4 linked regions of the Schizosaccharomyces pombe genome follow. The gene in region 3 interacts genetically with the main gene of each other region. Each region holds a gene or a part of one and is shown on either strand. Other genes may lie near its edges. The genes, in order: adn2, lkh1, gsf2 and adn3.

The links.
Region 1: of gsf2 (region 3) and adn2, changing one suppresses a phenotype caused by changing the other (phenotypic suppression), as found in Schizosaccharomyces pombe (one study listed by BioGRID).
Region 2: of gsf2 (region 3) and lkh1, changing one suppresses a phenotype caused by changing the other (phenotypic suppression), as found in Schizosaccharomyces pombe (one study listed by BioGRID).
Region 4: of gsf2 (region 3) and adn3, changing one suppresses a phenotype caused by changing the other (phenotypic suppression), as found in Schizosaccharomyces pombe (one study listed by BioGRID).

Annotation. Positions count from the first base shown.
Region 1 is NC_003423.3:4,399,880-4,404,697, reverse strand, and holds adn2 (transcription factor), read left to right. Parts: upstream 1-1,828; 5' UTR 1,829-1,850; coding exon 1,851-4,082; 3' UTR 4,083-4,315; downstream 4,316-4,818. Other genes in the region: U5 snRNP complex subunit Spf38, read right to left, coding at 1-51, 93-137; TIM23 translocase complex subunit Tim21, read right to left, coding at 4,707-4,818. UniProt on the Schizosaccharomyces pombe protein: Probable transcriptional regulator involved in cell adhesion.
Region 2 is NC_003424.3:655,568-662,208, reverse strand, and holds lkh1 (dual-specificity), read left to right. Parts: upstream 1-2,031; 5' UTR 2,032-3,376; coding exon 3,377-5,449; 3' UTR 5,450-5,968; downstream 5,969-6,641. Other genes in the region: 3' tRNA-processing endonuclease tRNAse Z L2 Trz1, read right to left, coding at 5,969-6,641. UniProt on the Schizosaccharomyces pombe protein: Protein kinase that may act as a negative regulator of filamentous growth and flocculation. Appears to have a role in normal cell wall and septum formation and in cell separation.
Region 3 is NC_003421.2:959,976-967,922, reverse strand, and holds the start of gsf2 (protein Gsf2), read left to right. Parts: upstream 1-1,910; 5' UTR 1,911-3,950; coding exon 3,951-7,947. UniProt on the Schizosaccharomyces pombe protein: Galactose-specific adhesion protein essential for non-sexual flocculation and filamentous growth. Required for adhesion and filamentous growth through recognition of galactose residues on cell surface glycoconjugates. Induces flocculation when overexpressed.
Region 4 is NC_003421.2:2,342,871-2,349,115, forward strand, and holds adn3 (transcription factor Adn3), read left to right. Parts: upstream 1-1,844; 5' UTR 1,845-2,496; coding exon 2,497-5,391; 3' UTR 5,392-5,728; downstream 5,729-6,245. Other genes in the region: transcription factor TFIIH complex subunit Tfb6, read right to left, coding at 186-567, 636-727. UniProt on the Schizosaccharomyces pombe protein: Probable transcriptional regulator involved in cell adhesion.

The sequences.
Region 1 (4,818 bases), on a different chromosome or scaffold from region 3:
TACAGAACCCTCCGTTATTAAGCTAGAATCTTGGATTCTAATTCTTTTAACCTATTTATATTAGTGCATGTTTTTTTAGCAATCGAACATACTAAATGTCCATTAGTCGCACTCTCCGATTCCTTTCGTTTATCCATTTCCAGTTTACTATATATAATAACTGCAATTTCTGATTGACAGTTTTCAGAATTAGAACGTAAAATGAATAGCAGGGACGGGAGTGGAAAATATATAAAACGGATCGACAATCGTCGCAGGGGTTTCTGTCACAACCAAAATACCAATAAATCGGACTTTTCTTTGGTGTTCAAATAACGAGGAATGATGAGCTCATTCCTATAAACAGGACTTAAAGTAGAATTTATATGAACAACATTTTGATTACAGGCAAAATCCCTAAAAATTTACCCTTCTCATGGAAGCCATTTAAAATTCGTTTAAACAGTATAAATAAATTGTAAGAAATATCTATTCCGTATACTATATACAGACCTTGTTTGTGCTTGAGGAAAAACACTAGTATCAATTAATGTCTTATAATATTTAACGAGCGGCTTTAATATCTAGTCTATCTCGATTTTACCACCATCAAAAACACTTGAGAAGCATTTTGCCATTAGCTAAAGATGCGTAATCACATTTTTTTTGGGTATAGTTATTAACAAATTTTTCTACTTAAAAATTGTATGTACGGTTTTCTGGGCTGAATTGTCTATTCTAGTCGCCTCAAAAATTGAAATATAAACAACGAGATAATCACTGATTAGGTATAACCGCATACAAAATTTCATAAACTTTCTCCCGTCGAATATATTTGTACTTTAAGAAATTAATTTTTGATTAATATCAAAATCCATAATTCTACAGGGAATCTAGCATGGCAATAATAAAGGATTATCCAGTAGATAGTAGTTCTAAAGCCGGATTATAGCATTTGCAATGAAAGAGAGAAACTAAATTTTCTACTTGATAAAAAATGAATTATAGAAAACTAAAATGTGGAATATGTGAAACTAAACAAATTTACGCAAAGCTTCCAATCTTCATGTAAGTACTTTCTAAAAACTTGTAGTGCCAAAATTAAGCATCTTGCTTGATTTACTGAAAAACACAATTTGCAACTAGTTTTCGAATAGTGAACACATTCCAAAATCTTTACTACTAAAAGCATTTCTAACAACTTTAGAAAATGATAATATGAGTTCCAGTGCTTAGTATTTACATCGCTAACTTATGTAAAAAGCTGTAGATATGTATATTTTCCAAGGCAAGGTAAATAAAACAAGAATAATTGATACTATCTACATAATTACAGCATTCTTACAAAAAACTGCGGCTAATAGTATTCTTAATTCATTATGATGTTTTTACGGATGAAGAAATATCAATTTACATTTACTTTCTAAACCCACCTATCCCTTAATTCCACAGTTTTCAGTTAGTAAGTTTGCATATATAAAATCTGAAATTACCACTGGTTGATTCATTGAAAGTATATCATCTTAGAACCATATTTTAATATAGCCCATTTTAGATAATTCAAATCCGAATATATACATAATAACTATTATTAAAAATGTTTTTAGAGCATGACTTGCCTTGGAAAATAAGAAACCTCTATAGAGTTTTACTCTTCAAGGGTTTTGATTTACTCTGTAACTAAATTCAAACATAACATTTATGATTTTATGATTTTCAGTAATTGATAGAAAACTAAAATGAAAATATGATATACAAAATGTTGCGGTAGTATAGCGTGCGCAGATCTTTAAAATTATATATCGCCAGCGTGCATCGTTGTAGATCCATATTCTCGTTCGCAACACCTAACTTCTGCACATTTCTAGTTTATGGCTGATCCAGGTTTAAGGTCCGGCGTCGGATTGCCAAGCCAGCAAGGACAGAAACATGATTTACAAAAAGATCAAAAACAACCGCACGTAAATAATGCCGATAGGACCACACAATCCTTACTGAATTCGTACATATATGATTATTTAATCAAGAAGGATTATTGTGAGGCAGCCCGAGCTTTTGGCCGTGAAGCACAAGTACAAACGCTCGTCAGAAGTCAAGAAGAAACCAATTCCTTAGCTAAGCGTCACAAAAGAATGTCTCCTGTTGCTGTAAAGCATGAAGGTATAAGTAATAATGAATCTTCGGATGAAAACATGAATGTAAATAACGGTAATTTAGATTCCTTTTCTTCTTCTTCTGCTCCGCCGCCACCTCCTATTTTGCCTATCGATTCAGCTGGTGGTTTTTTAATCGAGTGGTGGAATGTTTTTTGGGATATTTACAATGCTCGTCGGGGTCAAGGATCTGAGCCGGCAAAGGCGTATATGTCTCATATTAGCAATCTTAGGAAGAAATCTCGTTTAAATTTGCAAGAAATTCAAAAAAACTCTCTACACACTGGAAATACTTCTCACCCTTATGCAAACGCCTCATTTCCCCATGATCCTGCCAACGCAATGGGTCAGCAGATTGACTCATCTCAGTTTCATCAAGGGGCAGGTGGATTGAACGATAGAAATCAGCACTTAATGCGGCAAGCTATGCTAAATAATCAAAGCCGTGAAACGTTTCCCCCGACCGCTGCTCAACTTCAACAATTAAAACAATTACACTACAGGCAGCTACAATCTGTGCAACAACAACAAAAGCAGCACCAGCAAAAGAAAACTCCACAAAGTGGTTCTACCCCACAAATGCAAAACACGACTTCTCAACCTACAACTCACGATACACATCCACCTAAGCAGCAAGGTCCAATTTCCGATTTTCGATCCATCCCTTCTTCACCCAAAACAGAAGGTGCTCCATCTAATGCTCAATTTCGCCCTAGTTTACCGGCAACTCCTAATGGTTCCGTTCCCCAGTCGAATCCGTTGTACGATACCACTGGTCTTAACGGAGGACAATACCCTGTTGTTCAAAACTCTGCTCAACCATTGCTTCACGAGATAAATTTTGCTTCAAACAGAAATCCACATCTCAAACAAGGAGGAGCAGTACCTTCTTCTACCCTTCCTCAACAACAGAAATCTTTAGACAAACCTAAACCTGCTCAACAGCCTTCAACTGGGCAATTTTCTGGAAATCAAATGAACCAATACGGATTCTCTAATTCTCCTTACTCTCAAAATATGCTATATAATTTTAACGGAAACGCAAACCCCAGTCGTCTAAACCCAGCTCTCAAGAATTATATGGAGGAGTTAAAGCTACTAGAACAACAGAATAAAAAGAGGCTTCTGTTAGTTAGTCAGGAAAAAGAAAGAAAAGGGTACACATCGGCATCGCCTGATAGACCGCTTTCTCAGACTATTACTGAATCTAGTGTTGCAAAAACCAAAAGCACTACTCCTAAATCTACTGACACTCCTACAGAAGCCACCACATCTCCTGTAAAGGTCTCAACAAAAAATAGTAATACTACTGAAAATCTTAATGGCATCAATGAGTCAAATATGCCTATGTTACAAAATGGTCTTCCTTTACGTACATCAGGTGATCATCCATCAAACTATTCTAATCTGATTGAAAACTCATCTACCTCTGACACAAATAATGCGGACAATGGAATGGACGTTATGGGGAATTGGCAATTACAACAAACTCATTCATCGCGACCCACTCCAAATGCCAGTTCTCCATTGGACGTTCGATCAAAACAAAAGCCTTCTTCTGCTAATTCAAATGCTCCAACTCCAGCACCGACCGTCAACACTACCAACCCCGAATCATCAACAAATGAAGCAACAAGTGTAGGTCCTGCTTTGGAACCATCGCAAGGAGCAAATGTTCACAAATCCGATTCTGAGTTGGATAATCAAAATCAGTCAGGAAAATCAAATCCTGATACTTCCGCGACTCCTTCTGCACCTACGGAGTCTACCACAGTTGCCACTAAATCTTCAGACAATCAATTATTGGATGTTGGAAATTCAACAGACATCGATGCGGCTCTTCTAAATGATTTTGACTTCGACAAATTTTTAAAAGATACTAGTACTGGTGACGATTTATGGTTTGGATTGTTTAATTTGCCGGATAATGAAGACTCGACTGCTGCTTAATTTTGTCGAAACTTAAGTATTTTATCCTTGTTTTTCTTCTTTTTTAATTTGTTTATTTGGAAATTATATACCAGATTTTTTCATCTTTTTTGAATGCGTTGCGTTTTGTCATTATAAAAATTTAATATATAATTAATTGCTAGTTGGATATGGATTAGTGTACTCGGTTATAAATACCGGCCTACATCTTGTACTTTATATCTAATAATCAAAATTATTTCATGTGCTTTGAATCATTCTTATATTTTTTATAACTAAACACATTTAGGTAGTACATTAGATTGGCGATTAATCAGCCCCTGCGAAAAGGCCCCTCGTACAAATTCGCTTCTTTATACTAACTAATTAAACAACAAATCATGAGGTTCGATCGCTTAATTAGTAATAAAGTGTCGACGATTTTTTTATTTTTTGCAATATACATCCAAATACTGCATAACTAAGTGTGCTAATTCTGATAAAAATCATTAACATCGCCTGTAAATTAATTCGTAAATTAGAAAATTAATTCTCTGCGAAAAACCATTAATCAAACCATTAAAATCGAGAAATAATTCAATGATTTCCTTTTCGGTTGAAATTAACAGCTATACCTTTCCGTCGTGCGTTTATCATTCGGAAATTCTAATTTCCCCATGTAATATTTTTTAAGCTTCCCCATAAACCAAAATTCTTATGTTGTTGTCGTACAGAATTGGTATGATCAAAAATTATGATTTTTCCGTAATTTGCAACA
Region 2 (6,641 bases), on a different chromosome or scaffold from region 3:
GTTTTATAGATGTTACTATGTATAGCAAGATTAATTAACATGTTATTGTTATTTGTTATTATGTTTTTAATACTATGTATTTATAGCATCTGTAATGTCTGCGTTTTTCAACTGCCAAAGAGCGCATTTTCTACAAGTTTCGGTTAATGTTGCAAATAACCGATTAGACTTTCATGTCATGACACTTGATTTCACTTGTGCTGACGCTTTTTTATGAACGGCATATCGCTGTTCAGCTGCTTTACCGACATGTAATGGCCAAATCTCGAGCTTGACACTTTGTAAAAAGTCTCAATAATAATTCCCCATCCACAACTGACATACATAATTGATAGTACTTACTAGCCTTTACCCTTGCCAGCCAGACAGCTTCCACTGTACTGAGGTCAGGGATCATGACATAGACTGATTGCAAATTACGAACAAGACCGTCAATCTGCACTTTAGCATCTCCTAAAATAATAATCGTTAAAGCCGACTAGCTATTAGGGATGACGGGAGGAGCAAAAAAATAGCCTGAAAAAAGAAAAAGAAAAGAAAGCGTATTTAAAGAAAGGTTAAAATTTTCTTTGTTCTTTCAATAAGTAAGCAGTTTACTCCTGGTCCAGAAGTGCGACGGACCTTGCGTGCCGGTAAGGAAGTTGCAAAAAAAAAAAAAAAGGAAAAAAAGAACCGAGATAAAGTTGACTTTCAACTTCCGTCTGCAGTAACCGGATTTCCCAAAAATTTCAACGGGTAATTCAATTATGCAAGGGGATTGTCATTCTTTTTTTTACATTTTTGAGTTTCACGACACATTAGTCCCTTAATTGCAGCTACAACCATGCCTTGTTGCCTATTTTTTTCCTTTGCTTAATTACAATTTCTCACCCCATTTGAAGTCATGTTGATTGAATTTTTCACATCCCGTTTTCAAGCTCTAACATCAGTCATTGTAGATGATTGATTGTAGAAAATTATATTTGTTTCCTTTTCGCGACCATTAAATGATTATTCAATAGTTGATGAATTATTGCCTTTGTTGTTTTGTTACTCATCATGGCAATTTTATCGTATTATTTGTTACATAGATTATTGTCATCCACTAAATTTTTTGATGGCCAAGCGTCGCTGTTTGGACGAAATATTCGATTACCGAGGACGGATGGCCATAATCAAGACTAGTTTGGTAAGAGAATTTGGCAGATGGGCTGGACGACATTTGTTGAAAGTGTGAGAAACGCTTCTGAAAAGGCATGTTTTCTATATTTCATTTCTATTCTGGTAAAGAATTGTGCGGAATACTATACCATGGACAAATGGGGCGGGCGACAAGGCAGCTACAGTATAAGCGGGCATATAGCATTCATTGTATAATACAGTATATAGTACATGGTAGGTAGAGTTGGATAGAGATGGTGAGAATGACAGTTGCATTATTTATGCGTAAAACTATATGTAAATTTTATAACTATTTATGTAAACATGCGTTTATATATGTGTATGAGTGTGCATGCTTGTGTACATTTGTGTGTGTGTGTATGTGTGGTGTGTATTGATGTTTGAATGGTATGATGACAATGATAAGCCATTTCTTACGAAAACTCCTTAAGTGAATATGGTTGAGTTGAATGGAGCGGCATTTGAATGGTAAATGATTAGTGATCTAAATTAATGAAAATTCATTCAGCGCCTCTGCCTCTACGGCCATGGCGGTTTTCGTAGATCTCAGCCCTTCAGAGTAGCAAGCGTCTCTTACGCTATAGTTGGGTGACGGCTAGGTACGTTGCATACTGCGCACATGGTGTTGTGGAATGTGTATACTTTTTCATAGGAAGGAGGTGCCAAACGCAACGCGCCTGGATGGTGATTGTTGGGTTGTTCCCTCGTCCGGCCAATTTTTTCCAGCTATTTTATTTTAAGGATAGAATAACAATGATGTTGTTCCGGTCTCACAAACATGATTATCTCATGCAAATTTCACCTTTTCTAAGTGGCTTTACCAAAGAAAACGCAACTTATTATTATCCAAACTCTTGCTAATTCCTTTTTACTTTCTCCACATCCCTCGAATTGGCTTGAGGCTTTTTCTTTTATCCTTTCTATCCTCAATTACTAGTTTTCTTAGCAGTTGTATTATTAGGACATTGCTTTGTTGTTTTACCCCCCCCCCATTGGAATTACATTCTGTGGGATTGAAGGAAAGAAAAAGAAAATTGCTTATTAAGAGTCGTATATACTTCATTCTTCAATTTACTACACTCACTACTTGCTTTTCTCCATCTACGATCTACCATTTTGTTAGGTAGACTTTCGTACTACAGCTACATCGCTTGTCGTCGACTTTGTGTGCTTTTGAAAACTGCCCTGGTAATTGCCGATTCTTTTGGGGGTTATTTATACTTTTGTTTTATCCAAATTACTAATCCGCCTGATTTGGACATTGATCAATTTTGGTAGTAGCGCAATCGCACCCCCTCAAACACAAAAACCTCATCATTGTCTCATGGTACAATATTGCCTTGGAACATCATTACTTTAAAGCAATACGATTGATACAAAGGTTTCCGCTAGTTGTTGATTGAAGGTTTGGTGTTTATCGTTTTTTCGTGTTTGATTTGCCTTTACAGACCCTCCGTGTTCGGCATACTTATTCTCCGGTATTGTAGATATTTATTTCTCTCCGATACCTTTTTGCATTTGCTGTTTCTCTTTACTGTTGCACCCTACATTTGATTGAGAAAGGGGTTTAGTGGTTGTCGTCAATTGTCTTTATTCTGAGAAAACGGCTTTCTTCTCCCTGATATAAGAAACCATTTGGTTTGATAAATATATTTCAAGTTCACTTTCTCACTGTTTTCCGCTTCTTTGCTGATTTATCGTTTGATCGACGGCCTTGCAATTTTACAACGTCGAGAATTTTAACTTCTTTCTTCGTGATTGCATTCAAATTTTGAAACTCTTTCGAAGTAGGTGTACCAGTTAACTTGATTGCTCATTCTTCCTCCCATTCTCTGCTTCTTGATGAACTAGCTGTTCTGGTCCAACACCAATTGTCGAATGCTTGTCAGTTCAGTTCTATTGCTTTAATTCGTCCATTTTTTATTTTTATTTTTTAAATTCCGCCTTTCTATTTTGTTCTTACCCTTCGACGAGTCGAAAAAAAAGGTTTTTTATTGCTTTTGTCGCTTGGTGACTTCGAACAAGGAAACTTTTCCCCTTATTATTGTTTGAGAAACACTTATTTTCGGTGGTTGGTATCTCTTTTCATCATTTTTGCTTCTGGTTTTGCATAATTCTAAAAGATACTTATCCCTTTTTTCAGGTTTCGACGTCTTCTACCTCTTCACTTTACCAATTTGCTCGCATGACTTAGACGGAATCTTTTTATTGTAAAATGCATTCCTTAAAACGTCGTAGAAATCATGCGCCTGATTGGCAGGACTTTTATAAAAATGGTGTTCCACAAGAAGTCATTGTTATAGAGGACTCAGCTTCTCCACGGCTTACCCCTAATTTACCGCCTCCTTTTTCTGTTCATCAATTACAATCCTTCGTACCTCCGCAACCTCCCTCATCATCATCACCCTCTACCACTGGCACTGTGGCAGTCCCTATCAATGGTGCGAATGCTGTTTATCCATCAACTAACTCGGTATCTCTTCCTCAATCCTATGATCCATGGTTGGATGCTAATGGCGTCGTTCCATTACCGCATGATGTCGCCAGCCATCCTTCATATATGGTTCAGTCTCCTACATCGTATCATGCGTGTTCAAATAATCAATCGCCATTTCCCCATTCACATCATCCTCCCCTTCATAATCCACTACCTGTTTCATGTCAACCTGTTTTACGGCCGCCTCCTGTCCCTCAAGTTCCTTCACACTGGTACCCGGTTTCGCTTCCCTCTCCTAATTTACCTCACCAACCAATTTCTAAACCTCCAGTGATCCCTAATTTACCAAAGCTCCAAGTCCATCCGAACAGGCTTCCACATCCCATCCATAATCATCCTTACTCGTCTCCAACCTCTTATCCTCCCCCACTATGTCCTGCAACGTATTGTCCTTCTAACCCTCCTCAGCTAGCTCCGGCTACTGCTATCGCTCCTTCCTCGCAATCGTCTCAACATAAAAGTGTAAATTATTCCGTCACCCCAAGTTCCATTAACAATCATACCGCTGTACCATTATCTCCAACGCTGGCCGTATGGCTTCCGATGACTCAACCAACTTTCCAACCTCCTTCTGCAAACGTTTATCAACCGGCTTCTAATGCCAATCAAGTTATCACTCCTGTATCTATTTCCGATTATCGACCTCCGAAGAAAAGGAAGCGAGCTGCATGGCCCCCATATAAAAAAGTCGACCGCGTAAATGTTCCTGTTGTGCATGATACTACCGCTTTTGATCCATCAACTTTTGATGATGATGACGGTCATTACAAGGTTGTACCTAACTCCAAATTTGCCAACCGTTATACAGTTGTTCGTTTGCTTGGGCACGGTACTTTTGGCAAAGTTATCCAGTGTTACGATCAAAGTACAGGTAGACATTGTGCTATCAAGGTGACTCGAGCAATTCCAAAGTACAGAGAAGCTAGTCTCATTGAATTAAGAGTTTTACAAACTATAGCTCATAGTGATCCGACAAATGAAAATAAGTGCATTCAGTTACGCGATTATTTCGATTACCGCAAGCACATCTGCATTGTGACTGATCTTTTTGGCTGGAGTGTCTTTGATTTTTTAAAGAATAACAACTACATTCCTTTCCCTTTGAAGCATATTCAGATGCTATCCCAACAACTTTTTAAAAGTGTTGCGTTTCTTCACTCTTTGGGACTAGTACATACCGATCTTAAACCCGAAAATGTTCTTCTGGTATCTAATGCCTCAAGAACTATTCGATTACCTTATCGGAATTATTCACAGAAAGTCCTTAATAGTTGTGAAATCCGGCTTATCGACTTTGGTAGTGCAACATTTGAAGATGAATACCATTCCAGTGTAGTGAGTACTCGTCATTATCGTGCTCCAGAGATTATTTTAGGGTTGGGTTGGTCTTATCCTTGCGATGTTTGGAGTATTGGATGTATTTTAGTTGAGTTATTCACGGGACAAGCCTTGTTTCAAACCCATGAAGATAGTGAGCATCTGTGCATGATGGAAAAAATCCTGGGTCCCTTTGATAGGAATATGATTTCGCGTTCCTCTCGTACATCGCAACGTTTTTTTAAATCTGACGGAAAAGTCCGTTATCCTTTGTCAAATACGCCTAAAAAAAGCATTAATTATCTTCAATCTCTGCAAACGCTAGAGCAAATATTTGCAGTATCATCTCCAGAAGTGGCTTTGCTGCTTGATTTATTGAAAAAAGTATTCGTTTACGATCCTAAGCGGCGAATAACTGCAAAAGAGGCCCTTTGGCATCCCTTTTTCACCCAACCAATTTCTTCAAATTTGTGATGGATAAACTTAGAGATTTATAATTTACTTCATGTTTTTCAATAATTTTCACTCTTTCTAATTTACAAATCTACGGAAGTCTCGTATTTCTGGTTTGTGTTACGCTTTAGCTGATGTTTATTCGTTTGTTATTATTCAGTTTCTTAGACGAAAACTCGCATGTTCTACAATTACTTTAATTGCATAGAGTACTTGGTTATCCGATATAAATTAAAACTCAAAATTGTCCTCTTTTTAGATTATTCCATAAAGGTTTGATTAAGTCGTCAATTACACTCGTAAATTTTGGTCCTTGGGTTAAATAGTAGTTACTCAGTGAAATAAAAGAAAAAAAGATCATTAATGGTTTTCAGGACTATTTTAATAGATACGGATTACCTTGACAATTTTTTTGAAGTCTGAAGTATTTTGTTATGAACATAATTGTATAATGAAGAAAAGGTTTGCCCATTTCATTAAACAACAGAGATCACTTGCCTGAGACCCAATTTATATAATATGAGACAATAGCTCAAGTAGTTAGAACTTTAAAGGATCCGACTCCTCTTTTAAATTTTCCTCATTAAATAGATAAGCCAGAGGCTTTCCAAAATAACGAAACAATGAGATATCCGATATTTTAAGAGTCATTCCATCAAACGCCAAAGCTATATGTAAGTCTTCTGTCGAAATATCAATGTCTGGTAATTTGGGATATCGTTGGCTAAAATGAGTCAAAATAACGTTTTTTGTACCAGCTTTTTTGGCCACTTCTAAAGCTTCAGAGTAAGTACTGTGTTGCTTTTTTATTGCAATTTCGTGCATAGAGTCTTCCAAAGTAGCTTCGTGAATTAATAAAGTTGAGTCTTTGGCAATGTTAGCAAAATCCTCAGAAGGTCGAGTATCTCCAGAGTATGCGATCTTCCAACCACTGGAATTAGTAATCTCCATGCAATATGAATACGGGCAGTGTATGGCAGGAACCGTTCGAAAAGATACTAAATCAAATTCTTTAAATAAAGAAGACAACCTAGAGGATTCCAAAGCAGACGGCTTCCTGTCAGTACGTAAAGCACTATTGGAAATAAATACGATGTTGGATAATGGTAGATAATCAATCCTTGAGTATTCTAGTAGCCAAAATTCAAATTGTGGAGGTGCTGTTATAAACAACTTTGATCTGCCATCTGAGTACTTCGTCCAAGCCTTTAAA
Region 3 (7,947 bases):
AACAAGTGGGACACAAGTATCAAAGTAAAAAATAAAATATAAATAGAAATAAAGAATCAAATTACCATCTTGTATATCTTCTTCTCTTTAATTATGCTTAACGACGACCTCGCTAATCGTAGAAACCTCTTGTTTTGAAAAGGTGAATAACGAAGCGGAATGGAGTCACAATGTTCTCCTTCTTCATATGATGCCATAAATAAACAAGGAAGCGAAATTTAAAAGCCGCAATTGGACAATGTGTTTGACATCATCCTTCCACTCAACGAACAGATAACATCATGTCATGACGTATAAGCTTTAGTGTTTTTGTATTTGAGAAACAAACATTGGTCAAGGATTACCGAAAATTTAAAGGGTTGATTTACCGAAATCATGACGTATTCCATTCAATTTCAGCACGAGGAAGAGGTAAAGAACATCAAGTAACGGAGACCCTATGTAAATAAAGAAAGCATGGAAGAACAAATAAAGGTAAGGAACAATAAAATGTCTAAGAAAAAAAAGAAACAAATACGACTTCTCTTCGAAAAAAAACAACAACAACAACAATTAACGATTGCTCTTTTCTTTACATATATATATTTTTTTATCGTAATTTGATTGCCTTGTTTTCCATGGGAACCCGAGTGTATGAATATTGGTGAATTCGTATGTACACATAAAACTTTACTGTGTGAAAACAAATAATGAATTAAAAAAAAAGAAAAGAAAAGCATCTGATTCAGCCACCTCTTTTTTATCTAATTTCCCTTCTACAGTTTATGAAAATTGGATGCATAATCGAAATTGCCCTCTTGCCTTGTCGGACCGATGGTTATTTACTAATAGTATATAAGCCTACCCCTTTTGCTTAACGAAGCATTTTACGAGTCGTAAAGTTGAAATTAGCGAAAAGTTTCGCAGCACATAAATTGACAATTCCACAGAAAAAAAAAATGTTTGAAAGAGAGAGAGTGTGTGTGATTCAGGATTCTCTTTTTTTATTCTTTTTTATTTTTGGGGGTAAGGTATTCTACAATACACGAAGAAGACTTTTTTTAAAATGTCCATCTAAAAATAGAGAAACTTAGAAGACAATCGAAGAAAATAAGATCCCCTTTGATCACTGAATGCACTACACTACACTGCACTAATTCCGTTTATGAATGCCGTTTAGTACGGCAGGAGCGGGTTACTGCTAAAAATAAATAACGACGGCTACTAAGAATAGAAAGTAAAGTGGGTGTGCTATCCGATGTTGGTTATTTACAGAAATAGACGAGAAACACAAGAAGCTGCTTACAAACAAAAAGTATTTGTTGTGTGAATGGTGGATGAAAATAGAAAGGTTCTTGTTTTAACTTCTTCTCATATCTTTTAAACGAATAATTAATGAGTGTTTCTTTATTCGTGAGTCTATATTCTCGGGTTTCCTTCTCAAACTTTCATCCAAAATAGCTAGTTCTATAAAAATAACCATTTCAACATGTGCCTAGGCATTGCCGGCTTTACCATCCATGATGGCTAAGCCAAACTAGCTTTAATCACAACCAGAGCAAAAAGTACACACTGACCGAAAATAGTACATACTGACCTGACTGTTTAGTGAAGTAGAGCGTAGCATGTACACAGTAGCAAAAAGGATATAGTACGTTGGCTTTGACGTTTGGAAAAGAAGCAAAAGAATTCATTTCATTCTAAAAAGATTTCCATATATTTTATGTAATTTTTCTCGTAATTATCAAGGCTTTCGTTCATTTCTTGTCCTTGTTTTTCCGATCCAATTTGCTTAAAAAAAAAAAAAAAAAAAAAAAAACTCATTCCGATTCACTATATTACTTAAGAATGCAGTATATATAATTAGCGTAGAGTAATGAGAGTTGCAAAAATTACCACCATTCTACGGGACCAGATTGACAACACCTGGTGAGCGCCGCCATGCATTCTGCCTCCAAGGCAAGCTGGACTATAAGCCGGCAGAGGTTTGACATACTTGTAATTTTATGAATTGGACATATAGAAGTAAATGCAAGTATTTTTATCCGAGGAGAACGCTAGTTGGAGGGAGAAGATGAAACAATAGTGGTGATAACAAAAAAAACAAAAACAATTGCCAAAAATTGTAGGAAAAGAAATTGGAAAAGGACGCGTAAAAAGTCATTCAAATCAGTAGAAACTTTCCAATGCGCGAATGGACATCCATCCATAATATTGAAAGGTTATTTTTCGTTTACAATCGTCGCAATTCAAATAGACGCGAAAAAATAGCAACTGAACGCTGCCACCTTAAAATTGAACTAAAAAATTTCAATTATAAATGCTTTGATCACTAAGCAAACATTGAAAATCTAACGACTTAGACGTTGCATAACTAATGAATTGACATTGCATGAACTACTACTACATCCTTCTAAACACCGCCTTTCTCGCTACCACAACCCCATCTCTACTACACTTCCACTCACTTACTCATCATTCTTCATAGTCGCACTTTTTCATTTCTCTCCTGTCATCTCCACAAATTAAATCTTAATCTCTTGTTTCACTAGCTTCTTAATTGCAATTAAAATTGCGCTTGCTACATCCTCTACACTACTCCTGTAATCAGCCTTCTTTTCTTCTCTTTCTTTAGCATACTCGGTCTCGTTATTCCATATATCGAAATTTTCTTCTTCGCTCGACCTCGATATTCTTAGGAACCAGCACAGAATGCAAAAGTGGATCCTTACCTCCATGTTCCCGAGATAGAGATTATTCCCTAGCCGAAATTAGAATTTGCGAAGAGGTTTTATGTTATCGCGGGGTCTTCCACATAGGTGACAACGATTTTTTAAATTCGAATTCAAAATGTTTCTCTAAAAAAAGAAAAACTTGCAAAAACGGGGAACATTTGAGAAAAGGGTCATCGGGGTACAGAGAGAGGGGTATAGAAAAAGTCGCAAAGGAAAAATTCCGTAAATATTCATTGCTAAAATTTCACACAGATTGGTTTGGGTGTAGTTATTTATAAATATGGCCGCATCTACTTAAGAAAGTTATTTCGCTCCTACATTGAAGGCGAGTGGTCGAGTGTTCGTCAATCAGTCATCAATTGAACATCCAAAACATTCTTAACGAGATTAAGATCGTTGACTTTCTTCTATAAAAGCAAAGCATCGAGAAAGATTCGAACATTGCAAAAAAAAAGGATTACCTATTCCATATACACCATCTGTCTCTCTCTTTTTGTTGAGGTTGCTAGAGTTTGGTTATTGGAACTTTCTTTTTTTTGTTGTATCATCATTTGTTTCCTTCCTTCCATCTTTATTTTGGGAAAGCGACTTGATCTCTCTTCGCTGCACGAATCTGTGATAACAATATCTTCACTCATTCTTTTCGCCAGCATCCAATTTTGTTTTTTTTTTGAGAAACAAATCTGCTCTTGTACATATTCTACATTCTTTTGAATTACAAGTGGGTATTTTACATTCATTTGAATAATTTAAAATAAATCTGGCTAGCATTTATTTTTTAATATTCTCCCCTTTTTTCTTTACATCCCCCATTCTATCGTCTAGGATTTCGGGTTGAAATTGGGTTTTAAGTTGTCCTACATTTACACAAAATAAACACTGGGTAATTTCGTGTTTGGGTTGGTTTGGTAATACAGCTTGCGAATCTCCTTTCATCCAGTTATTTTTTATTTATATATATTATTTCTTTCATTAATCTTTTCGCAATTTTGCATTCATTTAAACCCTCTTTTCTTCATTCTCTGTTGAAACTACGAGCTTTATTCATTTGGGATTCACTATTTTTCTAATTGAATTTCTATCATATTATCAATAAACGCGCTCTGCACACCAATCGTCAAGCATTGGATTTAATTTTGTTTTTGATAATATTTAATTTTTTTATTCGTTTGGTTAAATTATCTTAATAATTTTGTTTTTTTCTAATTCACTTACCCGTTTTTGAATATATCAACAATGTCTGTTAGAAGGTTTTTATCCACATCTGCTCGGGCATTACTTTTCACGGCTGCTCTTCTTCCCTCCTTGACTTCTGGTCTACCTTCTGGAAATGTCAGGATTTTGCAAAAGGGAATGGAACCTGAAGATTACCTTTCCTCTGCATCACAAAATGAAGTGCCTCACGATATTTCACTTCCAAAGACCGAGCTTGCGGATCCAAATTTCCTAGTTGACGATATGCCAACCTTACTTGGCAGAGACGCTGCTGTTGATCCTAGCATGTTTACTAGCACCTTCACAGTAAAAAATGGAAATGATGCTAACTACATTACTGCTAGTCCCGTTAGCAACGACGCTTCCATGACTGCTATTAGCACTTTTACCTCAGGGAAAGAAGCTTCTTATGCAATTCAAGCAAGCCCATCTACCTTTCTTCCTGATTCGACTACCACTTCAGGTTCACAAGTTTCAAATGCTGTTGAAGCGAGCTCAACTTTTGTAGCTGATACGACTAGCACCTCATGCAACCCAGCAACGGTTTTAATTGTAACCACATCTGGTTCAACAAGTACTAGTTGTCCCCCTCCAACAACAATTCTTATTGTTACAGTCCCTACCACAACCACAACAACTACTGTTGGATATCCTGGATCCGTCACTACTACCTTGACTGGAACTCCTAGCAATGGTACTGTTATTGATACTGTTGAGGTTCCCACTACTACTAACTATGGTTACACCACTATTACCACTGGTTATACTGGATCCACTACTCTTACCACTACTGTTCCTCACAGTGGTAATGAGACTGGACCTACTACAGTTTATGTGGAGACTCCTTATCCCACAACTGTCACTACCACCACTACTGTTGGATATCCTGGATCCGTCACTACTACTTTGACTGGAGCTCCTAGCAATGGTACTGTTATTGATACTGTTGAGGTTCCCACTACTACTAACTATGGTTACACCACTGTTACCACTGGTTATACTGGATCCACTACTCTTACCACTACTGTTCCTCACAGTGGTAATGAGACTGGACCTACTACAGTTTATGTGGAGACTCCTTATCCCACAACTGTCACTACCACCACTACTGTTGGATATCCTGGATCCGTCACTACTACTTTGACTGGAGCTCCTAGCAATGGTACTGTTATTGATACTGTTGAGGTTCCCACTACTACTAACTATGGTTACACCACTGTTACCACTGGTTATACTGGATCCACTACTCTTACCACTACTGTTCCTCACAGTGGTAATGAGACTGGACCTACTACAGTTTATGTGGAGACTCCTTATCCCACAACTGTCACTACCACCACTACTGTTGGATATCCTGGATCCGTCACTACTACTTTGACTGGAGCTCCTAGCAATGGTACTGTTATTGATACTGTTGAGATTCCCACTACTACTAACTATGGTTACACCACTATTACCACTGGTTATACTGGATCCACTACTCTTACCACTACTGTTCCTCACAGTGGTAATGAGACTGGACCTACTACAGTTTATGTGGAGACTCCTTATCCCACAACTGTCACTACCACCACTACTGTTGGATATCCTGGATCCGTCACTACTACTTTGACTGGAGCTCCTAGCAATGGTACTGTTATTGATACTGTTGAGGTTCCCACTACTACTAACTATGGTTACACCACTATTACCACTGGTTATACTGGATCCACTACTCTTACCACTACTGTTCCTCACAGTGGTAATGAGACTGGACCTACTACAGTTTATGTGGAGACTCCTTATCCCACAACTGTCACTACCACCACTACTGTTGGATATCCTGGATCCGTCACTACTACTTTGACTGGAGCTCCTAGCAATGGTACTGTTATTGATACTGTTGAGGTTCCCACTACTACTAACTATGGTTACACCACTGTTACCACTGGTTATACTGGATCCACTACTCTTACCACTACTGTTCCTCACAGTGGTAATGAGACTGGACCTACTACAGTTTATGTGGAGACTCCTTATCCCACAACTGTCACTACCACCACTACTGTTGGATATTCTGGTTCGGTAACTACTACTTTGACTGGTAGCGGTAGCAATAGCATTGTTACTGAAACTGTTGATGTCCCTACCACTACTAGTGTTAATTATGGTTATACTACTATTACGACTGGCTGGACTGGATCAACCACGCTTACTTCTATTGTTACTCACAGTGGAAGTGAGACTGGTCCCACTACAGTTTATATCGAAACTCCCAGTGTTTCGGCTACTACTACCACTACTACCATTGGATATTCCGGATCTCTTACAACTACATTGACCGGTTCCTCTGGCCCTGTTGTTACCAACACAGTTGAGATTCCTTATGGAAACTCTTCGTATATCATTCCTACAACCATTGTTACTGGCACCGTTACTACTGTGACAACTGGTTATACTGGTACTGAGACTTCTACTGTTACAGTTATTCCTACTGGAACCACTGGAACCACTACAGTTGTTATTCAAACGCCTACCACAGTGACTGCAACTGAAACCGACATTGTTACTGTTACAACTGGTTACACTGGAACTGAGACATCTACTGTCACAGTTACTCCTACTGGAACCTCTACCGGAACCACTACAGTTGTTATTCAAACGCCTACCACAGTGACTGCAACTGAAACCGACATTGTTACTGTTACAACTGGTTACACTGGAACTGAGACATCTACTGTCACAGTTACTCCTACTGGAACCTCCACTGGAACCACTACAGTTGTTATTCAAACACCTACCACAGTGACTGCGACTGAAACCGACATTGTTACTGTTACAACTGGTTACACTGGAACCGAGACATCTACTGTCACAGTTACTCCTACTGGAACCTCCACTGGAACCACTACAGTTGTTATTCAAACACCTACCACAGTGACTGCGACTGAAACCGACATTGTTACTGTTACAACTGGTTACACTGGAACCGAGACATCTACTGTCACAGTTACTCCTACTGGAACCTCCACTGGAACCACTACAGTTGTTATTCAAACACCTACCACAGTGACTGCGACTGAAACCGACATTGTTACTGTTACAACTGGTTACACTGGAACCGAGACATCTACTGTCACAGTTACTCCTACTGGAACCTCCACTGGAACCACTACAGTTGTTATTCAAACACCTACCACAGTGACTGCGACTGAAACCGACATTGTTACTGTTACAACTGGTTACACTGGAACCGAGACATCTACTGTCACAGTTACTCCTACTGGAACCTCCACTGGAACCACTACAGTTGTTATTCAAACACCTACCACAGTGACTGCGACTGAAACCGACATTGTTACTGTTACAACTGGTTACACTGGAACCGAGACATCTACTGTCACAGTTACTCCTACTGGAACTGCTACTGGAACCACTACGGTTGTCATTAATACTCCTACAACTACTGGTTCTGAGGTCCTTCCCACTACTGGTGCTACTGGAACTGCTGGTACTGAGACTCAACTCACTACTGCTACCGAGGTTCAACCTACTACTGGTGCTACTGGCACTGCTGGTACTGAGACTCAAGTCACTACTGGTACTGAAACCCAAGCTACTACTGCTACTGAGACTCAAGCTACTACTGCCACTGAGGTTCAAACTACTACTGGTGCTACTGGAACTGCTGGTACCGAGACTCAAGCTACTACTGCTACTGAGGTTCAACCTACTACTGGTGCTACTGGAACTGCTGGTACTGAGACTCAAGTCACTACTGCTACCGAGGTTCAACCTACTACTGGTGCTACTGGCACTGCTGGTACTGAGACTCAAGTCACTACTGGTACTGAAACCCAAGCTACTACTGCTACTGAGACTCAAGCTACTACTGCCACTGAGGTTCAAACTACTACTGGTGCTACTGGAACTGCTGGTACCGAGACTCAAGCTACTACTGCTACTGAGGTTCAACCTACTACTGGTGCTACTGGAACTGCTGGTACTGAGACTCAAGTCACTACTGCTACCGAGGTTC
Region 4 (6,245 bases), 1.4 Mb from region 3:
TACGGCAAGATGAATGTGATTAAAAAGAAGAGCGGGTACAAAAATATTATAATCTTTCCGAGTTGATGGTTCTTTTTTTTGACGTTGCAATTGTTTTAAAATACCATCGAAGTCACAAATGGCTACCAAAAGTTATAGAAAATTAGTCAGTAAACGGAGAAATAATGACGGGGAGAACAAATGCATTAAAAATCTATGCTGTTCAAACTCTTCTCAAAAATAGAGGCACAATCCATTTCGTATCCTTGAACGTCGCTCAATTTTGAAATAACAACCATACGGCAATTCTCCATCAGACTTTTTAACCGTATAGTATCTGTAGTAGAAAGATTTCCCGATTGTATGAGCCTTAAGCAAAGAGAATCCAGTAGGGAAAATACCTTAAAAGTTGTCTCTGGGGAGGCCGGAAATCCAACAATAGTGTCGACAAAAAAGTCGATACCTCGTAGAGTGAAATTGGTTACGAGAAAAGTATGCTTTTCCAAAGGAATAGAAGATACCACCTGAAAGTATGGTTCCAAATCAAATGCTAATTCCTCTAATTTTTGATAGCCACCGGGATGGAATCTAACGATACCAATGTTAGCAAATAAAAAGAGTGAAGAAGACTAGGCAAAACGAATTGAAAAACGTACTTCTTTTGGTATTTTTGAGACACGTCTAATAAAATCTCATCCAGAAAGTCGCGCAACTTGTTTAATTGGTGCTCAGTTAATTCAAGTGCCATAGCTGAATATAGAAACAGAAATTCCCTTTCCAGGAAAAAAAAGGGTCAAGCGATATTGATAACGAACTAAAGATCGGAAATTAAGTTGCTAATTAATAATGCAACAACTAAATATACATGAATAACTATCTAAAAAGTCAAGGAAGCGTATAAGCTTATACAAAACAAAATTTAGTTTCTGAAGAAGAGTGACTAGGGAGAATAAAACTCAATATCGACAAGAAAAGCATTAAAACCTTATTTATCTAAAAAATCAGTGAAAACAGAATTCTGTTCGCTTTTCTATATGACGGTGATGTTTGGAGAGGAAAGAGAGTCAATGACGACGATTTAGGGGTATACCCATTTATCAACATTAACCTTCTACAAAAAAAGTTCTTGAGATAGGGCAATTTTTTGGAAGCCGAAAACACATTTTTTATAAGAAAATTGTCTGACCACCACCATAAGCTGAATTTTCTCATTATTATCATTTTCAATGTACCCTCTATAAAAGAATATTTATTGAAATGTCATCGGGTATTATGATTTAGCATGCTTGCCTTTATTCTGTTTACGATTATATTTAGGCCAAATATGTCAGGCGAGTAAATGAAGTAAAACATAGCAATGTTATTTATTTAGAAGGGTAATTTATCAGACGGATCTAATAAATGGAAGCAGTAATCGAGATTCCAAGTTGGTAATGAAGAAATTTCTTGATTACTATCTATAGGCAACTAGCTCCTCTTGCTTAGCAAGTTTTTAAATAGCTAGAAGTCATGAATAAGTATCCAACGATCCTTAACTAATGCGAGAAAATAGTTGATCATAATCGAACGATGCGAGCTAGATTCTAACAAAGGTATAAAGGGATATGATAGTAAAAGCGGAACGTGAAGCTTGGTCGATTAAATTCAAATGAGCTACTTAAGATTATCTGTAGCAAGCTGTTTACTTTCGGAAGGTGACTTAGTCTTTTGCCTTTCGTTTTGCAATATACAGAATATTAAATTATTTAATCTTCATAGCTGATATCTAACGTATATCGACTAGTTCAGTAGCTGTGATAACGAAGTTTAAACATATCTCAGTATTCGGATTTGGTTTGGAGGCACACACTCAAAACCGACTATTTACGGCTTTATTACTACTTTTTTGCCTAAGCCTTTAATATATCGATATTTGAGAAGATTCAAGGAACGAGAAAGAAAATTTTGTTTTTAAAAAGCATCGAGCCTCTCTGACTGCTACACTGTGCATTCAATTTGAACTACATTAAAGACAACAGCAGCGCTATCGTTTGAGCATAAGAGCACTCGAATTTTAACGACAATACTGAATTCTTAATCCTTCCATGACCTATCTTTTCATCTGTTAAAGCATATATATCTTGCTTGTGCAAAGAAAGGAGCCAGGTCCAAAAGTCCATTTGAATAGCGCGCATTCTAATCAACCATAATTTTAAGCATCCATTCCCAAAATACACCTTTTCCTCAAAAAATATCTGGTCTTATTTCCTATAATTATTTTTATATCAATCCTTACCTGCGGTTTTTCATTGCACTTTTCCTCTTTGGTTTTTCTTTTTTTTTGGTGTTATACGCTGTTAATTCATCTTTGTTTTCTTAAATCTCTTAGCTTTTTGTTTTAAATCTTTGCACTTTCCTTTACATCTTTATAGTGTTCCACATTCGTTTCGTTCTCCATATTCCCAGTTTGCTTTTTCGATTTCATATCGCCATTTTAGATAAAATTGATGACATTTATTTAGCGTCAAGAAAAATACAATGGCTGATTTCATGGACATAGAGCCATCCTCTCATTCTGCAAAAGCTTCTCAATACGAATCCTCGGCTCCTGCGTCTTCTTCACTGGGTAATTCGCATCCAAACGAGTCTCTGGATTATTATATATACGACTATTTTGTTAAGCACAACTTTGAGGAAGCCGCACAGGCTTTTTTACGAGAGTCAAAAATTCAAATTCCAAAATCTTCTTCATCTACTGCCTTTTCACCTTCCAACAATAACGCACCTTCACCTTTCCCCCCAAAGAATTCATCTTTAGCCTCTCCTAGCAAAATTTCTGAATCGATTTCTGGTGATCGACTTTACAACCACATGTCATCAGCTCCGTCTCCCAACAAAAAGGAAGAAACCAATGTCGTACATGCTAACGAGGACATTTCATTAGATAAACGCCAGTCATTTGGATCATCATCCCTTCCCCCTTCTGAAGTTTCTATAAATGTTCCCGAAGGTTTCTTGGTGGAGTGGTTTAATATTTTTTGGGATGTATTTAGTGCGCGAGTAAGTCGTGTAAATAGCACGCCTATTCAATTATATGATCCTTCTACTCAAAGACAAATGGCCCGTCCCATGTCTAACCTCCAAGCATCTCAACCTGTTCCTTCCTCCACTTTTTCTCGTTCCGCTGTTGTCCCCAATCCTTCTCTTCCTTTAAATCCTTCTGTTTTACAGGGACAAGTGATGAATAACCCAACCATACCAAAGGGCACTCCTTCTACATCCATTGAAGGTGCAAAGACTTCTATCCCACCTTCTCATGCTATGCAAAATCCGCATAACTCTTTCCCTGCATCAGCAGATAGACTTCAAAAGAACCACCCTGTTCAATCTTCCAACTTTAACCCGTACACACCTGCACCTTCGATTACTGTCCCACCTAATTATATACCGAACACTGCAATGATGGGCCCTTCTTATTCTTCTTTTGGTGATACTGATCCTCGTACTTATCCTGCAGGAATGGGACCAAACCCTACTGCTGCTAGAAACGGCTTTTATCCTCCAACTCCGGCCCAGATACATCAATTAAAGGCTCAACAACAGCATCTCCAACGACAAAGCAAACAAATGTCGGAGCCTGCTCCTATTAACATGAAATCGAACAAAGATCAACAATTGCAGTACGTGGATTTTCGAGGTGTTGGTAGTGGCGCCGATCTTCAAAAACAGCAATGGAACAAATCTACTTCTGCTGAAGGTCTCCAGCCAAATGGATTGGTTATGAGGAATTTCGGGGACGTTCGCCATCAAAAGCTTCCTACCTCTTCACCTCCTTCGCAACATCCACCTGTAGGGCAGATTCCATCACAGTACCTTCCTTATCAGGCTGGGCTCAAAGTGCCAGGTAATACACCTATACCCGTTAAACAAGTAGGTGGTATGCCTTTACAATCACCATTACCTGTAAGTATGAAGCCTTCCGCAGATGACCATTCACGCGCTACTCCAACACGTTCTGTTGAAGCTCCCACTTTGCCGTCATACGCTCCTCGGCATCCTACTCAAGCAAATGGATCGAGGTATATGAACCCTTCTACTTCTCGGATGACACCTCAATCACCTTATATGCAGAATTACTACCGTCCTCATGCTCAAATGCAGGATCAAAACAACATGATGTCCTACATGTTAAGCCAGCAGAAAGCTATGGAGATTGCCAAATCTAGAGAAATGGCTATACAGCGTAATACTCAAACACTTAGCTCTGGTAATCAGCCACCTCAACAATCAGGACCTAATCCGAATGAATTTTCAATGTCAATGGATCCAGCTAATATGCAGCAAGGTAATCATGCTCTTAGCGACTATCATATGCAACTTATGCTTTTGGAGGAACAAAACAAGAAGCGTTTGATGATGGCACGACAAGAACAAGGAACTGGTTCACTATCTCCACAGTCCTATATGAATAGTCGCTATAGTGTGGATGTAGGTAAGGAGCATATGTCAATGATACCTAATCAAACTGCTCCTATGATTCAGCCAAACGTACCGGTTAGCGCAAATTCCCCAGCACAGGCCAATACTCCAGCTGCTGATTCAACTAAATCCGGGACTATCCAACCGACAAATCGAAATGGCGAGGGCTTATCATATTCGCCACATCAACAGTTCTCACCTTCTGCTCCACAAGCAGAAAAGTTAAGTCGCTCAATGTCACCTTTTGTTTCTCAGCAACAACAGCTCAATCAGCCTGTATCTAATAAACCAGATGGACTAACTCAAAATAAAGAAGTGACCGGAATGCCATTGAATAAGGAAGAATTGACAAATCCTGCATTTCCACAAAGTAGAACATCTTGGATGATGCCGCAGTCATTTGATACTAGCTCATTGAATGCACCTGGTGCGAAGGATTCTTCTTCGTTTTCTTCCTTACATGCGCAACCAGGAAAAAGTGGAATAGCTACAATGGGTGTCGCCGACAATACTATACGCACAACCGAACGATCGACTTTCTCTGAGATAATGAAAGATTCTCCCTCTGCACATGCTTCTCCAGGGGCAAAAACAAGCCCTAATGCATCTAGAGCTCCAGAACCGACAGGAGGAACTAATTCCATTTCACAAGATACTACTCAGTCTCTACAAATGCAATCTAACAGCGTTAATTCATCGTCTATGGTGGATGCCTCTAAAAGCAAAGAGAAAAGTGGCGGCGATACATCCGCTTTGGATTCAAATGCGAAGAATGAACCTACGGCGGCAAAGCCAATTTCTAAACTCGAAGATGATGCTTTGTTTAACGATAGTGCTGGAAATGCATTCGGCTTTTCTTCTAAAACCGACAGTAATGTTGAAATGTTAAATGATTTTGACTTTGAAAGTTTCCTAAATGATGCTGGTGCAGATTCGGCATCTGTTTATTATTAGGTGCCGATTTCCTTTCCTACTTTTCTTCAACGCTACCTGTGGAGACGTTGTTTGTGTAAATTAGCTTGGATGGATGAATATTTCTTCTTTATTTGTGTCTGTTTAAATTTGCATGGATTGCTACAATTACCGGTTTTTTTTTTATAATTCTCATCATTAATCGTGCCATCCAGCCCGATAGGTGTATTTTACATGAAGCTTTTCCTGCCAATCTACTACACCCATCGAATTTTTACCATATTGTTGATTTTCGTTATTTATAAGATAATGTGTAAATAAATAAGAACTGCTTTCAAGCGTATATAATAAATATGATTCATCATTATACTAGCAGGAATTTTTATCTACGTGTTCTGAAGAAATAGTTATTACTTAATTAAGTAGCACCATTGCATAAGCTAAAACATTTTGGAACTAACGATTTCTGTAAACAATGTTTGAATACCAAAGGAGTTAGCATAACAATACTGCTTGCATGATATGATTTCACGGTCAGTAAAAGCAATCCAACATTAATCAATTACACAACCTTTTTTTCTGGATAATGATTTGCAGGGTGAAGATGAAATAAGCAGGACTATGAAACAAAAGAAAATCGCGAGGGGTTTTAATATTGATCATTGGCAGTATCGCAATTTACAGCAGGGAGAGACAGCTGGAATTTAAGGAAATATGCTGATTGCCTAAGTTTAATTAATTAAACTACAACATGCGAAATTGAAAAATTAAGCATCAATCCGAACAAACTTTCAGATCTTACAGAAATATGCGTTTTTTAACACATTGTTTATAAACATATTTTAATGAGGCCTTAAAAAATAGCATTCAATTTTATTAACTATGATAAGTAATCG